2 linked regions of the Oryzias latipes genome follow. The protein of the gene in region 1 purifies or fractionates together with the protein of each later gene. This does not show direct contact. Links are inferred from orthologs where the notes say so. Each region holds a gene or a part of one and is shown on either strand. Other genes may lie near its edges.

Region 1 (4,284 bases):
CTTGTTGACACTAGAAAGTTCTGGACCAATCACAGAGCAGCAATTAGACCAAGTAACTCCACCTCCCTCTAATCGGCCACTTTTGATATTTTGCAATAAACATATTTTCTCTTATAAATAATAATACGAGCCTTTGTAGATGATCCTTTACGAGAAGACATGCCGCTGATGCGCCAGCCTAGACCATTCCTACTAGAGATGGAAACTCTTCAGGCGTGTGACCATCATTTATAGGGCAAAACATTGCATTTTTCACACGCTTTTGTTTCCAGGACAGTAGCGCCATGACTTTTTAAAAGCAAGTATGTTTATTAGGGATGCACAGAAATGAAAAAATTGTGACAGAAGCAGAACAAAGAAAGGAAAATGCTTGGCCGAACACCAAATAGTTACTGAATATAAAAGGTGGATGTTGAGTTTTTCATTATATTTATAAAAATTGGAGAAATTTTGGACGCTTTTGCTGCAAACTGCAGTTCTTAAAATACCTCTGCACTACTTACATTTTACACAATAAACAAGATCATTGATGCACATTAAGTAACAAAACTTTGAGCCCACCAAAGGCTGAATGTGGCTATTTTTTATTTTTCTTTTGCGATTTTCGTTGAAATATATTCAGTTTTAAAGTATTCAGTGCATCCCTAATGATTTATGAACCATAGCAGCCCCTTGCAGGTATTCCTTTTCACACAAGAGGAAACATATCTCTAACCATTGTTTGGTGCATGTCGCATTACGTTACTGACAAGTGACTGGAATCTAACATTTTTGCCGTTTTGTCAGCACGTCTGTCTCTAGATATGTACACAGGCTAAACGCAGGACGCCTTAAATCACGCTTACTGACTTTCCTGTTCTATTATCAGTTACAATGCTTTAAAAATGGTCTAAAATCTACTTTCACACACATACTATAGATTCTAGAAATAATACAAAGACAGTTATGTTAGACAGTGGATAAAAGCTTCTTGACATCCTTAAAACAATCCAAGCTAAACTTTTTGTTAAGGAATAAGGAAACTCCTGCTCTGTAATATCAGTCTTGTTAAAACAGATATTTTTATCATGGCTGTAATCATTTTGACATTAACTCTGTGGGAATATTTCCATACCTGAGTAAGAATATAGTTCCTCTGTGCCTCTTCAACTGTTATTAGGCTGGCGTTGATGTAGTCATTTGCACCCAGCTGCAGGCATATTCTGCTGTGGTCAACTGCGGAGAAGGACGTCCAATTGTATTTCTAAATCAGCAACAAATGGTAAAAAAACACGGCTCTCCAAAGGTTTAAAATGAGCGGTCACGGAGTTTCTGAACTGAGAGTGAGCGTTGTGACTACGACAGAACCTCAGAGCACAACTGAAAACAGCGTGAACTGGTTTCAGGTTCCCCATTTTCACGTCTGACTAAAGGTGGGGAATACAAACAGCAAAAATATGCTTCACAATTTGCATAGCTTCTTTAATGTGAAAAAGAGGAAACCACTGAAGTTCAGCTCTTGAACTGGGAGGTTATATTTCATTTATTATAATACATTTTGAATGCATTGTCTGAATAGTTCCTCCAAAATGATTTTTTTTTTAAAGACAGTTTTGATTGGTTGATTAGTTTCACCAAAAATATTTGGTAATCTGTTCAAAATTAACTAATATTATTGGAATTTACCCATCTATATTTAATATGTATGAGTAAAACAAGAGAACTTTTTATACTTAAATGGACAATGTATATATTTAGGCTGACGGAAAGCTTGTAAGTTAATCAGAAGCTAAGGTAAACATTTTGTTCAATCAGTTACTTTTATATTAGCTGGTGAATGCAGCCATTATTACCAATGATGCAACCACTGACTAAATAGATGGATGTGTTGATAAACACTGCTATACATAACATTATAGTATTTGATATTGGCTGTAGATTAAATTACATACCCCTAAATGAAACATCTAAAAACTCTGTAATGTTGTGATGTGTGAGGCGTTACTTACAGGGGCTGACATCTCTGTAACGGTTCCGATTCTTGTTTTCGGGTAACTTGGCGATCTTACAGGGAAGTTCACACGATTGTTGCCGAATCTCCTGTTAAGATAAAAAAACAATCACATTTGTTTAACATTGTCAAAATGTTAATGGTGCCATTTTTGTCCTTTATAACTGCATAAGTGTGTGAATACTCCGAAAAAACGATCAATAATATGTCATATAACAGTTATCAATCCTTCTCAAATAATAATGTGAATAATTTTTTTCTGAGAAATGCTTTTTTAAACGCTGAAAGTGTCATAAACTTAACAGCTATGGTGCAAAAATAATTTAAAGCTTTAAAATGACATGTGTTGAATTGCCTCATGGGACGTGCTGCCGGTTTAGGACCCGGGCAGACACATCCATCAACAAAAAAAAGGTCCGAGCACCAAGCGGAAAAAAAAGAAAGAAAAAAAAACATGGACCGGCCACACAGGGAACAAAGCCGGCGGTTAGTTAAAAAAAATATACGGAGAAACACGGGGACTGAACTGTACGACTCTGCTCATGTATCGTGGCGAAAGTGAGAAAAATGTTGGCTCAAAAAGTGACAGCTTCACCCATTGCTGCTTTCCACCTTGACATGTCGAGAGTTCCTACCTGATAAATGGCGTTCCAACTCCCGTTTTCATCGATTTCTAAAAATTCGGCTTCCATTGCTTACGATCCAGCGGACAGTCTTTTTGTTCTCCTCAATGATGCGACAGCGACAACACAGCGAAGATTAAACGAATGAAACTTGAACAGTTTCCTGTATTAGCTGCCAAGTGTTTGGCCGTTGCGATTCTTAGTACGGCTGCATAGATTATACCGCGGCTGAGCGGAAACACGCTGCTAGCTCCTCCTACCGTGTAGCTGACGTCCTTGGTGGCTAAAAAAGAGTAAAGTGAGTTTTTAGGCTCCAGTAAAACAACTGCTTTTGGCTGTTTTGGCGATGTAACTCGATTTTTAACTTTTAATGCAACTCTTTCCCCTTTTTAAGCGGTCATTTTACCACCCCCACAGGAGTAACACAGACAGGCGAGTGCGCGCCGAAGGCATCTTGTTTCTGGAAAGAAGAGCGTCCGGCTTGACGGGGAGCGCGCACGTACATTTACGTAGCGGTCTGTTTACGTCCAATCTGAGGGGGTCGAAGCTTCAGTTTGAGCAACGAAAGTGTTGCTTGTAAACACCGCTTAGCGCCATAGCATGGGGCTTTTTTAACATTTCGTTCATGAAAGTCCTTCCAGAAGCCGCATGTAGGCTGACTTAAATCATGCCGTGATGGAGTAATTATTTATTTTTCGGACAGCACGAGCTGGGACGACAGACTTTGATGCTAAGGCTAGTACAGTAGCTAGGAAAGCAACTTAGGTGTAGGGGTTGAATCAGCCTTACCGCAGTGACAGGTATTACGCACAATTTTTCGAAGTTCTTACTGTGTGTCGCTTTTATGTGCTGTCTCACTCTGGCCGTCAGTGTACTTCATGTGGCTCTCTTTTCCAAAGTTTCTGTCTGTCTATGTTAGCCATCAGCTGTCGCTGGCTACTGCTGCTAGCTAGCCCATGTGTAGCTATAGTTATTGCCTCCCAGTGGTGGAAAAAGTGTTCAGGTCCTTTAACGGTAAGTTGTTTTAGCAATACTAAAGTCACAGTGTTAATAGGGATCATATTTAACATTAATATCGTGGTTATAAACCGGGGAAGGTCTTTTGTTATCGGGTATTGTGGGAAAAACTGCAGTGAATAAAAATGTTTTTTGTTCTTGATTTTTATATGACACTGCAGTTGTATACTAATATAAATTAGCTAGTCTGCCGCGGCCGACTAAATATAGACAATTGCTTGCCTCAAAAATGAATGAAAGTGCTTGATAGTGTTTACTGTACGTTTGTTCTCCTTGGTTCTCTGTTTTTTTGTCTTCAGCCTCATTCATCATACTCCTAAGCCCTTTTTTTAATCCTTCTATCGTGGTTTATAAGAAAATGCTAACCATTAAAAGATGGGTTTGTAGTTTCACTCATTGGATTTAGTTATTTAAGTCTTATGTTTAAACTTTTAACATGTCAAGTAACTTACCAAATCCTAGTGTCAGAGTGGTTTATTACTAAATTTAGATCAAAGCACCTATTATCTACTGCTGCAAGTAGCTGTTCATACAGTCTTTAAAGTATATGATTGGATTCACGTGTATGTATGCATTAAAAAAGGGATTTTACACCAATGTTGTCATGTTGATACTCAATGATAAAAGAGGAAAAAGGATTATGGTGCACTAAAG
Region 2 (4,463 bases), on another chromosome or scaffold:
GGAGCGGCCCCTTCCCCCTGGTGATCCAAACAGGAAGCACCAGCAGGCGCCAAGAATCCAAAATCCCATAGATTGTGTCCAAATCTCTGTAAACACTACAAAGTGCCCTATATAGTGCGTTCAGCATTTTGTAGTTCTGTTCAAATCTTCAATTACAAAATCTAGTGCCCTAAAAATTTGTCTCCGCAAAAAAACAGTCTGCATAAATGCTCACGAGGTTTGCGAATATGGACCACAATCCATTGTGTTCAAACTATTTTTGAGAAGAAGATAAAAAGAAGTATTGTAATAATTTTTTTAATAAAACATCCAAGTTTTCATCACCAGAACACACTGGTGTACAAAATGCTTTTAAATCAAGGACACTACAGTGCCGCACTATTTAGTTTTTTATTTGGTAGGAAGTAAGGAGGGAATTCAGATATAGCCATAGACGCTTACTGGGAAATAAACTGCTATTGCTCAGTCATTCTATATGTCAGAGTAAGCATTTCAGGTCTGATAACTTTTTTTTTTTTTTTTTTTTTTTAAACCTGTTCTTGATAATCCTCATTTTTTAATGAAAACTTTTCTGTAGTTTAAGTTATTCAAGTTATAAACTGACCAATCAGATGCCTCAATAAAAGTAGGAGGTCTCGCTTTTGATTGACAGATTCTACCAACACAATTTTCAAGGGTGTAAACTTCTAACAAGGTCACTCCTGATTGGTGAGAGAGATTGCCATAGAAACGATGACTCCAACAGACTTGGGCCAATCACTGCTTACCAACGTCATCTGGCATCTACATGGCGCCGTCCGTATTGTAAAAAATGGTGACTAAATTAACTTAATTTGGTTAGAGCACGAAGTAAGGCATCATCTATGAGTAACGTCACAATGACTCGGTCCAGTTCTCATCTACAGTCAGTGGTTCACACACATCTAACAACGACGTGACTCAGGACAAAAAGAGTCTGAAGACAGGTCAGACCTTTCAATCATGGTTCCGTTCTGGATCATCCACACGTCACAGTAGGTTCTGGTCACCAGCATGCTGGCAATGAGGATCAGGTAGGTTGTCTATGAGGAACGCAGCCAATGAATAACAGGGAGGAACCATTAAACATGGCAAACCATTAAGTAAGGCAAAGGTTTTGTCCTTTGAAAATTGGTCATCTCCACTTTCACAGCAGAGGTTTTGCTCTGCCTCCACTATTAGAAACACTTCTGTCAAATCTCAGACCATGAATGCTTATGGTACGTGCAGCAATGAGGTGAGCAAATTATTGAATATTATGGCCATTTTTCCAGAAGAAAGTTAAAATTAATATTACCTGGCCAGTCTTAAAGACCCACTCTGATGAAAACAGTGTTTTTTTGACAAGGTCTTGTGGCATTTTTCTCATTAAGTACACAGATAAACAAAATTAAGATTAAAATGGCATTTCTGAGTATGTCTTCATTCAAATTGTTGTTATTTAGGAGCAGATGAAAAAATACAGTTTGAAAAAAATATTGTATTTGTGATGTAGAAAATAGGGTAGCCCTTTGCTCCACTCTGCAACAGAAAAGGGAGGGTAGGGGAGGGGAGGGGAGGGGAGGCGGCGTTGCTCTATGACAAGTTCTGATGAACTACTGCCGCTCTGCAGAAACTATATCCTAGAAAACAACAAGGTTTTTAAATTTTGCCTAAAATCGTCATCATCCTAATTAAAAGATCACTGGGAAATATTTTACAATAGATCAAAAGATGATCGGAGTGAGACATTAAGACTTAAAACAAAAACAGATACTGGAAAAAAGGGTGGCATATGAAGTTAAATTAGGTATCGATTTTTTTAAAGCAAAGATTCTTTAGTTCTTCTCCATCTCTGTGGGGAAAAAGCTGGGGCTTGAAAAGAATAAACCGACTTTTGTGATTCTGGATTGTTGTTTAAAGATGACTCAGCGTTTCCTACAGCCTTCATTAGTGATCAGCCTTTGTGAAAACTTTCCTGATCCAAATACTCTCAAACATGACAGTACCTCCATGCAGAATACTCCCGGCACCATGATTCGCAAAATCTTAAGGACTCGGAGGAAGAAGGTTTTATCCACGGCCGCCTTGTCTCTTTTGCCATCTTTCTGCATGAAGACAGCACAATGTGTCAGATTCTGCTCCATCCGGGAAAAATATATGGTAAAAGCTGCTCTGTTGGAACAAACCTCTGTGTTGAGAAGCAAGGTCGGCTCTCCTTTAGAACTGGGGAGGAGAACAGAGACAAACTGAGTTTTTGCTACGTCTTCCCTGTGAGGAACATCTTCATTCATTACATTTCTGCCATTCTTTTATTTTAATCAAACACCTGTTTTGATTTGTTTTACGCCTGTGGCTCGTTTCCCGGCTTCCGACCTGACCCAAGGACACGAGCCACAGACGCACGCGCCCCGGCGCGTGCCGAGCTCAGTTATGAGTTAGCATGTTACAAATGTCCACAGCAGGTGACACATGGTTGCACACGTCTGTCCAGTGGGTCCAAAAGTGGCTTAACAATACTTGGGACAGTAACAAAGCCTGGTTCGGTGGTTCGGTCCGAACCAATGCATCGGTTCGCAGTGGTCCAGTTCCAGCACCCGAACTTTCCCCTCCTGACCGTCACCGAGATAACGCGACGTTACGAGCCGGTCAACGTTCAACGACCGGCTTATCTGCTGGAACTTTAGGGCCGCGCTGTACCTGTGAAGGCCACCTGGACCATAACTCGAGGACTGACGACAAGGACGAAACCACGGTGTGACGAACTGAACCGGCCTGTCAACCAGGCTGAATCCGGCTCCAATCCCGACTTGACGATTACCCCTAAATGTCCCACTCCCAGACAGCCGCCAACAACAAGCCGTCAAGCGCGGCAGCTGTCTCCCGTCGCAGAGTGTTGTGTTGGTCACTCACCTGTGACCTTTCGGCGTTCTGCGCCGTTTACGGAGCAGGTAGATGAGCAGCAGAAGGCCGCCAACCGCGGACGAATTCCTGGCTGTCACAAACTTGCTGAAGGCCGCCATGTTTGTGACACAGACCGGTGAACACGACACCGCCTTCTTCCTGTTTCCACAACTGCTCCGCCCCCTCTTTTTTTAAATAACTTTATTTAAAAGGGCCTTCTCAAATTTCAATCAAGGACCACCGTCACTTTAGTTCGAAGATGGTCTTTTATGACAATTACTTTAAAATAAGTAATGTGTCAGGTGCAGATTCATTTAAAAAGGGAACATGTTAAAGAATTTATAATCAGAATGTTATTTTATTGTTCTTGTATGCACAATAAAATTAGAAAGCTCTAAGAGAAAGAATGTGCAAAAATTATCATATGTAAAATACCAAAAAACACAGAGGTACAAGAGGTCTTTTTTTGGTTTTAGTTTAGTATCAGTTCTGGAAGAAAAACCTGTCCGTCAGTCTGTTTGCCTTGTGAGACCTGCAGCACTGGCCTGACAGTGGCAGTTGGAACGGTTAAGGCTGGGATGGAGGCGGTCCTGGATTTGGTTTGCCTCTGCCTTGGTATAGCGAGAGCTGGCGATGGCGTCCAGGCTGGGCAGGCGGACCCGGTGATGCAATGTTTTCCTGTCTGCGGCTGTGCACCCAGTTTACCACGCTGTCTTGCAGTATACCAGGATGCTCTTTATGGTAGCTCTGTCACTGGCAGCTTTTTTCCAAGTTGTTCCTCCTGAGTATTCTCAGGAAGTGGAGTCACCTTCCCTACTGCCACTGTGGTGTTCAGAGTCCAGGAGAGGTCCTCAGTGATCTATACAACCAGAAAACGAAATAACCTTTTCCACGCAGTCCTCATTTATGTACAGTGAGTACATAAAGTACCAAAAAAAAAAAAAATTTGAGGAACATAAAACATGGACATCGTACGACGGAGTTTTAGGGCCACGGTGAGGAAAAAAAATTCTGGCCAACATGACGAGATTAAAGTCGTCATGTCGACTTTAATCTCGTCATGACGAGTTTGGAGAAAAAACTCGTCGTGTCGAGATAAAAGTCGAAATAAAGTTTCGAGATTAAAGTTGCAATGTTGCGCGAGAGCAGTGAAGCTGAGTCTTTCAGGAGTATTCAGTGTTATGGCTAATGTTAGTGAGCTAGTGGCTTTGTATTTAAGAGTTTACGACAGAGTTTTATGGCCACCGAAAAAAAAGTAATTTTATTAGGAGATAAAAACTCGTAAATTTACGGGAAAAAATTCATAGATTAACAAGGAGAAAACCCCGTAGTTGTCTGTTTATCGGAGCCTAGTTTGAAGATGAAATATGTGGAGTTTTTTGTGAATCTTTATTTCCGGATTATACGTTTAAAACAAAGAGATTCTGAGCCTTCTGGCGACTCAAAATCAGATTATTTTCCGTGCAGCCGTCTTTCCGGGGTTCAGTGTCAGTAAAGCAGAGTTTCATCTGTAAAATAAGGAGCTCAGAGACACGTTTGGGTGCAGAGGACCGCTGCAGCCT

Evidence for each region.
Region 2: the proteins of ptpn1 (region 1) and abcd3 purify together in Homo sapiens (affinity purification with mass spectrometry; 3 studies listed by BioGRID and IntAct, with this or other methods). This does not show direct contact. The link is inferred for Oryzias latipes from reciprocal best matches to the Homo sapiens genes PTPN1 and ABCD3.

The regions. Positions count from the first base shown.
Region 1 is NC_019865.2:21,841,629-21,845,912, reverse strand, and holds the start of ptpn1 (tyrosine-protein phosphatase non-receptor type 1), read right to left. Parts: upstream 3,035-4,284; 5' UTR 2,683-3,034; coding exon 2,626-2,682; intron 2,080-2,625; coding exon 1,989-2,079; intron 1,216-1,988; coding exon 1,115-1,215; intron 1-1,114. Other genes in the region: klhl12 (kelch-like protein 12), read left to right, coding at 3,570-3,627. UniProt on the Homo sapiens protein: Tyrosine-protein phosphatase which acts as a regulator of endoplasmic reticulum unfolded protein response. Mediates dephosphorylation of EIF2AK3/PERK; inactivating the protein kinase activity of EIF2AK3/PERK.
Region 2 is NC_019878.2:5,052,609-5,057,071, reverse strand, and holds the start of abcd3 (ATP-binding cassette sub-family D member 3), read right to left. Parts: upstream 3,059-4,463; 5' UTR 3,021-3,058; coding exon 2,911-3,020; intron 2,224-2,910; coding exon 2,187-2,223; intron 2,106-2,186; coding exon 2,007-2,105; intron 1,062-2,006; coding exon 973-1,061; intron 1-972. UniProt on the Homo sapiens protein: Broad substrate specificity ATP-dependent transporter of the ATP-binding cassette (ABC) family that catalyzes the transport of long-chain fatty acids (LCFA)-CoA, dicarboxylic acids-CoA, long-branched-chain fatty acids-CoA and bile acids from the cytosol to the peroxisome lumen for beta-oxydation.